2 linked regions of the Drosophila melanogaster genome follow. The protein of the gene in region 1 binds, or shares a complex with, the protein of each later gene. Each region holds a gene or a part of one and is shown in the gene's direction. Other genes may lie near its edges. The genes, in order: thoc7 and thoc5.

Evidence for each region.
Region 2: thoc7 (region 1) and thoc5 share a complex: the UniProt entries of both Drosophila melanogaster proteins name them as parts of the THO complex.

What each region holds. Positions count from the first base shown.
Region 1 is NT_037436.4:210,900-214,657, reverse strand, and holds thoc7 (thoc7), read left to right. Parts: upstream 1-1,970; coding exon 1,971-2,040; intron 2,041-2,098; coding exon 2,099-2,213; intron 2,214-2,278; coding exon 2,279-2,960; 3' UTR 2,961-3,022; downstream 3,023-3,758. Other genes in the region: Dis3l2 (Dis3 like 3'-5' exoribonuclease 2), read right to left, coding at 1-626, 682-1,814, 1,874-1,908; Prp4k (Pre-mRNA processing factor 4 kinase), read left to right, coding at 3,350-3,366, 3,439-3,758. UniProt on the Drosophila melanogaster protein: The THO complex is required for cell proliferation and for proper export of heat-shock mRNAs under heat stress.
Region 2 is NT_033778.4:23,952,192-23,956,935, forward strand, and holds thoc5 (thoc5), read left to right. Parts: upstream 1-1,899; 5' UTR 1,900-1,972; coding exon 1,973-2,047; intron 2,048-2,107; coding exon 2,108-2,902; intron 2,903-2,956; coding exon 2,957-3,069; intron 3,070-3,127; coding exon 3,128-3,215; intron 3,216-3,268; coding exon 3,269-3,805; intron 3,806-3,861; coding exon 3,862-4,104; 3' UTR 4,105-4,215; downstream 4,216-4,744. Other genes in the region: Stoml2 (stomatin like 2), read left to right, coding at 1-243; CG3803 (uncharacterized protein), read right to left, coding at 347-1,199, 1,258-1,390, 1,448-1,550, 1,632-1,724; CG16787 (uncharacterized protein), read right to left, coding at 4,230-4,744. UniProt on the Drosophila melanogaster protein: The THO complex is required for cell proliferation and for proper export of heat-shock mRNAs under heat stress.

The sequences.
Region 1 (3,758 bases):
ATGGACGCCAATCTCATATTCGTTGTCGCCTAGCTTCTCTATAGAAACGGCGTCATCCAAATCGCGAGCAGTCATCGGATCTATAGTAAATATGCACATCTTTCTTAAGTCTTTTCGTTGACGCAGATCCTCTTGGCTTATCGGAGGTGGCGGCTGGGAGTAAATGTCGATAAATCGTTGCTCAAATGGCTTTATATCCCGGAGACCGTTATGAAACAGAATTGCCTTAAGTTCGTCATCCAAATTACCCACGCGGCCAACCGGCTGGATTAGTTCAGCGATGCAGTGCCCATTGCAATCTGTCTCGAGTATATGGGCAAGGTATAAGAGGCCGGACACGTCTATTTGCTGCTTGTTTCCGATGTGGGCGGCACAGGCATCCTTCGGAACGTAGACCATGGGGACACGCAAATCGTACGGTCGGAATTTGTAGAATAGCTGGTCGTCACAGAGTTTGGTTGGGTTCGTAAACGATATGGTTCCCACGATCTGGCGGAGCTCAGTTCGTTTAGTTATTGCTATGACGAACGCTTTAGGGCAGTTGTCCGACGATATCACGACCACGTTGTCGGTATCGGACTCAGAGCCCTGGGACTCGGTATCGTCCGAAAGCTCCTCACCATCCGCTTTATAGGATATTATCATCAGTCGAAAGTATTATAAGTTTGCCGATAAACTTACCAAGAGATAATGAGGGCTTCCCACCAGAGATTTCACCAGACGAGGGCTCAGCTGTCTTTGAACTACCCTGAGCACCAGGGTTTAGCACGAATGCACGTACTTTGTCACCATCGAAGGCATAGCGCCTAGCCACTGGCAAGAGCACGATGCCATCTCGTTCGAGTGCTTCTCGATCAGTGGACATGATTATAAAGGCCTGTCTGTTGTTCTTGCGGTTAACCCGGATTTCCTCTTCTACAATGCGCCCATAACCCGCCGCAACTAGTCTCTGCGCATGCGCTTCCAGGTCGGAGAAGTTACCTTTGAAAATCAAGTCTTCCGACAACTGGTGATCCATACCCACGTGACGTTGGACAATCTTGTTTATGTACGACCGCATGGCCTCTAGTTCGGTTTTTTGCGATTGGGTCCCATTGCTACCGGATCCATCGTTTTTCTTGCTATTGCGTTGCCTTCGTCCTAGTTTCGGTTGCTGCTGTACATGACTTCCATTGTTTGTAGCAGAGACCTCAGAATCGTGGCGATGCCGCCCCTGGTAACCAACCTGTTGCGGATGTGCTTCTGACCTGGTCTGACTCCACTCGAGCTGAGAAAGGATCTCGTTTTTACGTATCAGCTGGCAGGCATACGCGTTAACATCTGGGGAGAGGTGTGAAAGATGTTTGACCATATCCTGAAGAGCTTCCACCTCATTTCGAAGAGCCCGCTTCGACTTCTTTTTCGCTATTAACCGATGGCTGGGACTAGACACGACGTGCAAATGCGAAAGTGGCTGAAGGCAGGGAATCTGCATGGTCGCCTGGTAGGAGGCGAATGCTACGTGGTAGGGCAATTGCATAGCTACCGGCGCTGGCGTGGATACTGGCACACCGTAAGGAATGGCCTGCCTGCTGTTGCTCCGAGCAGATGGTTGGGATTGGTTGGGATGTGGCCGTGGTTCCGCCCAGCGCATTAGTGGCTGCAGCGGAATAACGGCATTGTTGGCCGATAGGTCTTTGCTGGATGCATTAGACTCCATTTCCCTCTGCATCTGCTGGAGGCGGGCAGCAAGGCGTTGTGAGCGCTGTCGGAGGCCCTCAATCCTTCTGCAATCTCGGTCCGCATCCACGTTGACGCTTGACGTTTCCGACATTCTGCAAGAAGTGCACTTAGTTAATGGGATTCGCTGATGTCCGAAAGTGTACGGCACTACACTTGGCTATGGGCGGGATATAAAGGGTAAGGCATAATTCAATACTTTCTCCAAATTAAAATGATAGGACAAGTACAGTAGGACCGTACTGCGTGGTATGTCGGAGCAGTGTCAGCTTCGGCCACACTCCGATACGCTAGTTCGGAAATTAGTGGAGATGAATGACGGTAAGTTGTTTTTGTTTATTTTCGCATTTGGGAATAGATATTTAAACTGATCTTCCAGAAGAAATCATAAAGCAGCGCCTGCTGATTGACGGGGATGGAACTGGAGAGGATCGGAGAATAGTAGTGTTGCTGAAACAGTTCTTGAAGTGGGCCAGTGACTCGCTGGACAGCAAGTAAGAAATTGGATATGTGTGTATTCAAAACATGGTGTACATATCTCCTCTTTTCCGAATTACAGTCCCATCATGTACGACCGACTGATGGCCCAATTCGCCCAGTGCAAGCTCACTGCGTTAAAGAATGTACAAACTCTGCAGATGATCGCCGGTGAGCGTGACAACTACACACAACTAGTTGAACACCACGAAGAAAGTATTGTTTTGGCTAAAGCGGAAATCGAATCCAGTAAAAAAGAGCTAATCACTGCCAAGCAGATTCGCAAGAACAAGATGGAGTACGACCTGCTGGCCTCGCTCATCCAGGACCAACCGGACCGCAGTGAAACACAGCGACATATTGAGACCATTAGGAGGGAGATTGACGACTTGGTGCAAAAGAAGCTAAAGATGGAGCGCAAGTTTCAGAAACGACGCAATGACTTCACTTTGCTGATGTACACGATTCACGAGCTGGAACAGCAGCTGGACCAGGACAGCTCATCCTCGGCATCCTCCTCGTCCAGCGATTGCGATGCCCGCTCTGAGCCGGACCTAGACGACAATGGGATCATGGAGGTAAGCGATGAAGACGACGATCTCAACAATAGCACTCCCACAAAGTTCGACGGAGCCCGCGGCGAGCCCAAATATCACTCAGTCTCTACTGAGGACTCTAAAGCCATGTCCGTAGAAGAGGACACGGTGCTTGAGCTAAGCATCGACAAAGATGAGCACGACGTGGATGTAGCTGTTGCCAATTAGGTTAGAAGCGCTAGCATGTACAATAAAAACAAAAAAATAAAATGTCATGAACTATAATATACAAATTCAACTGTTGTTTCGAAATTCCTTCGTTTTTATTTCCAATTTAGACTTGCGCCAAAGACGATATTTAAGGGTTATAAAATTTAATTTTAATATATTTTTATTTTACTTGCATATATACTAGAAATAATTCCGAAATCCCAGGAGGTATTTTTAAAACGTATTTACTTTTGTCCGGCGTGCAGTCACACTAAAAAAGCTACGAAGAGGAAGAATACAATAAGAGGAAAATTACAAGTTTCATTAGCCATCTGCAGAATTACCGCACACCTTATGAACGCACAGTGTGCGCGCATCTGCAGTTTACATTGTTAAACAATCAAATAATGGCTGACGACAAAAGGTAGGTTAATTTTACTAAGCCGACCGCACGTGTGTGTATTGACCTGGGCTGCTCCCCTCTTGTACCGAATAGCTACGACTCCAGCAACAACAGCGAGACCGAAGAGCGTCGGGCCAAGCACAAAAAGGCTAAAAAGCACAAAAAACATAAAAAATCCTCGACTGGCAAGACCGAGAAGGACAGGCATGTCCACAAGAAGCAGAAGAAGGCAAAAAAGCGCCCCCACCGAACAAGCGAATCCACAAACGAATCGGACGCCCCGGAAAACGCAAAGTTAAAGCTATCACAAAATTGCGGGCTGAGCAGCAAGTTCACAGAAATCATGCAGAAGGCCAGCCGGAATGGAGCCGATTTCCGTGTCGGCAAACCCCTGCTTCCGACGGATCCGAGCA
Region 2 (4,744 bases), on another chromosome or scaffold:
TACATTGGAGCCTTCAAGAAGCTGGCCAAGACGAATAACACCATGATCTTGCCCTCGAATCCCGGGGATGTTAATGGCTTCGTGGCCCAGGCCCTGGCGGTGTACAACCACGTTTCCAACTCTAACCAGGCCACCAAGTCATCGGAAAACGTGAAGGGTGTGGGCGCCTGCCTGAACGCAAAGAGTGTTGAGTACAAGGAGTTGCAGGAGGATAAAAGCAGTGTGAAAATGAATATTGAATAGGAATGAATAAACGGTTGTTGCTATTACATTTGCCCCACTCATAGTTGTTATTATCAAGGCGAGGATATTAAATTTTTGGTTCAACAAATAAACGCCTATTTATTTACTTCGGAAGGTACTTCAACAGTCGAACCTCGTGCGACAGCCACAATGCGAAACTCAGCAGAATAAGCGAGCCCGACTGGTGGGCCGTTGCCAGAGGCACGGGCACGTAGTTAAGCAAGGTGGTTACGCCAAGCGTGGCCTGCGTCCAGGCCATAGCCACCACGGCGTTGATGGCCCAGTTGGCGCGCTTGGGCAACTGCATCCTTCTGGTGACCAGCCACAGAGCGGTGGTCAGCGTTACTGTGCTAATACCAAGGATGCGGTGATTGAACTGCACCGTCGTCGGATTCTCGGTGATGTTCTTCTGTATGGGCGCAAACGTCCACATGTCATCGGGAATCCACTTGTCGCCCATCTTCGGGAACGAGTTGTACACGAGTCCGGCGTCTAGTCCGGCTACAAAGGCTCCAGAAATGGCAGTCAGCAGGACCATTGCCTTCGTCAAATGCGTCAGCCCCTTGATATTAAATGCTTTCTTGGCTTGGATCACGAATGTGTTCGTGGGGATGAGCAGGGACATGGCCTTTGACAGGGAGAGTGAGTACAGGACGAAGGCAGCTGCCAGGTGGGAGGCCAATCTATACTGGGATACCCGTGGCACGTCGTTGGGATCCTGGAACCTGTCTTCCAGCCCGGACTTGACCATGTACCATCCCATCAGACCTTGCAGGCCAATCAGTGTGCCCAGCAGCAGGACGCTCTTCTTGGTCTTCGCACAGAAGTATCCCTTTCTCCAGAAGTAAACAGCGGGCAAAAGGAAGAACCCGCCGATGGCACGACCCCACATCCTGTGCATGTACTCCATCATGAAAATGAACTTGAACTCCTCCACGGTCATATTCACATTCTTTCTGAAAGCAGAAGTTTGCATGTAGTTCCTGGCGTTGGATGAATCTGGGGAGTACTCACAGCTTGTACTCTGGGTATTGCTGGTAGAGATTGAACTCCTGCACCCATTCCTCCTGGGTTCGGGGCATACGTTCACCCGTCAGCTTCCAAGTGACCATGGACAGTCCGGACTCTGTCAGTCGGGTTACTCCGCCTGGAAGAGATTCACTTTCGCAAGGAACTACAAACTTTACATTTTGTTATTGGTTACCTAGACCAACGGCCACGAAGACCATGCCGCTGACTCCCAGGAACCATCTTCCGACGGTCTTGTCGCTTTTCGGAGTGCTGATGGGCTTTATCACTGGGATTTCCTGAAAGGTGCGGCATTAACAAATATTACTTTATAAATAAAAACATATTTTTATATGTAATCAGTGGGATATTAATGCAACCTTTATCGCTGTTTGCGCAATCGTCTGGTGAAGTCGGGGGCCGGGTACTACTAGCTTTATGAGATTGGTTCTCTTCTGGAGCAATCGCAGCATTGTGTTATTTCAAGTTTGGAGAGATTAACTTAAGCTTACAGCAAATATTAAAGGATATATTTTGTTTTTTAACTATATTTACAAAGCCGCTACCAAGTGTGACCGCAGCAGTGGGGTATGCGCATATACTAAAATCATTTTGAAAAGTACCGGCGAATGTTATCGACTCGATAGCCTGGCCACATTATATCAGTTTTGTTAATAAAAACAACTTTTGCGGCTTCTGATTTACAATTTCGCCAAATAAAATGGAAACAATATTGAACACGCAGTTCGATCAGCTGCAAAAGGCCATAGAGGGAATTAAGGAGGCGAAGAGCAAGGTAAGTCCGATTTCCGTGCCAGAGTACAGCTCTAAATCCGTCCACATCCGTCACGAGCAGGGGCAATCGACGGATGAGGCTCGCATTGCCACCACCTTGATGTTCGTGGCTCTGAAGCACGCCAACCGCGAGGTGAAGCACAAGATCAAAGCGGGGCGCGACAAGCTGCACCTGGAAAAGTGCAAGGTGGACCTCAGCCGGCTGCAGCTGCAGAATCTTCTGTACGAAGTGAGCCACCTGAAGAAGGAGATTGTGCGCTGCCAGAAGTTCAAGAGCAGGGACACCAGCTTGGAGCTGCTCTCGGAAGCCGAGTACTCCAGCGAGCTGCCAGACATGCCCAACGACGCGGAGGAGCTGTCCAGCCACAAGCAGCACCTTCATCGCCTCGACTGCGAGCTGCGTCTGCGGAAGGCACTCGACAAGCAGTACAGCGCCCTGCTGAGCTCCAAGCAGGAACTGCTCCAGGACAATCTTAGCCACGCCCAGCGGTACGTCTCCTTCGCACCCGCCTTGCGCACTCTGCAGAGCGCCACAAAGCCGCTGCACGATGCACTCCAGCTATCCCTGGACGTGGAATGGAAGCTAAGCGCAGTGGTCAAGTACCTGCCCAAGCCGCTCTACGTTTTGTTCATTGTCCTGCAATCGCTGCAGCGGGTCAGCGAGGAGCAGTCCTTCACCGCCGAGGTGGTTGGCTATGAGAGCGAGGCTCAAATGCAGGAGTTGCTTAAGGAGAAAAAGTGCTCCACATTGAACTACAGACAGACTAAAAAGGAAAGTGGAGACCGGGAAAAGATTGCCGATAAAAACAACTTGGACGACTCACTCGCTCCTCACCCACTACACATTTGTTTGACGGTAGGATGACATGGTTTGCTCATTCCAAAACATTTATTAACCTAAACTTTAAAGATTGGAGCGGCTGGATCGAATCAGCTCGTTTTGCAGATTCGCTACTTTGATTTTATCAAGTGTGCCACTGTCTGGGGCCAACTTAACTGCTCCAGGAATGCCAACGGCCAGGGGTAAGTTTGGAACACACCTAGGAAAAAATCGCATAAATAACTAGGCATTTTTTCACAGTGACACAAACTTTGTTCACCACCTATTGCGGCATTTGTACCCCAATGACTTGGGCAATGAATTACCCATTCCGGGAATCCAATACGAGGTAAGAACTTCCTTATCCAACGTTGGACAACCAATTAAATTACGCTCTTTCAGCTACGAAGCTCGGATTTAACAGCCGAGGAATGTGTGCGCTACCTCAAGGCCAAGGACTACGGAAAACCCTTCTGTTGGCTGCAAAGTATGTGCTCGATTGCAACCGTCAACAGTTCGATGCTGTACAAACACGAACTGAACTTGAATAAGAACAACAAGGAGATTATTGACCGCATTGCCAGGCGCTTGAACTCTTGGCAGCGTTTAAGCCAGCAGATTCGCGGGCTGACCTTCAAGGATATCGATTTGTATAGCTTGCAGGAGAACATCTATCCAGCCGGCCTGTCGTGCAGTCTCGTCCAATGGACTGCCATCACACATGAGGAGCTTCACTCGCAAATTTCAGACGCACTGAATTCTTCGTCAGCGGACAAGGGTATTACGTACAACTCTTACCGCGCTGTCATCGTCCGGGGATCGGCCAAAATGGAGTGCTTTATTAGAATACCGAGTAACTATCCACTGGAAATGCCTCTATGGATTCTGAATGTGCACTGGAACGGATGCCTTACCGCGCAAAACAATTCGGCGATCAAGGTTTGAACTTATTCAGGTATTATCCTCCAATTAGCTTTTAAACTTGTATTCCTCAGATGATGGAGTTCTGGACCAACTCCCTGCAGCCCAAACATTTGGAGCCCAACGACTGCATCCTGTACGCGCAGCTCTTCCGCACCATCTACAGCTTCGATATATTCCTCGAAACCGAGGGATCCATGCAAAACACCATTGAGTACAACAAGGAGAAGCCTTACATAAGCGCCTTCGCCAAGCGGAGCCGCTCACGCCCCTACAAATACATCAAGAAGGGATCGGTCTACGCGTTCAAGCAGTGACAGTTGAATAACGAATGTTGTACAACACAATGCGCCAATGCGGTTACTAAACGTTCTCACAGTTGCGTTTATTACGATTAGTAATACAATAAATAAGTAACATTTAAAGCTAGCTAGCTACGACTTCATTGGCAGTTGATCTTCTGGGAAGAGGTCGCTGCCAAGGATCCGGGAGGTAGTGCCGTCGCAGAAGGGTTCTCAACCGCCTCCCGACTCTCGTCCGGCATCACTTTGTCCACGACGTGCTTGACGATCAGCCCATCGTCGCCCAGATAGCAGACAGAGTAGCCGTCGTACCAGGCCTCCTGATCCTTCAGCACCTCCTTCAGTTGCCAGAGCTTGTACTTCCAGAACTGGAACATGACCTTCAGGCCGGAAATGCCGCGCACTCGCCACCTTATCCGCACTGTGTAGTCGTCCTGGTGCTTCGTGATCTTGAGCACCTCGAATTTCACGTAGGCGTACTTCAGGTGGCCAACCGTTCGCAGGATGGCGATCTGTTTGACGTAGTGGTACAGGCCCACCGTGTGCTTGCCCGTTATGTTGTTGTGGAAGATTAGGCCCGGGCTGTAAATGGAGTAGTCTAGGGGCTCCACGAACAGCTTTGGTAGCGTGGTCCTCAGAACCTCGTAGGCTCTAT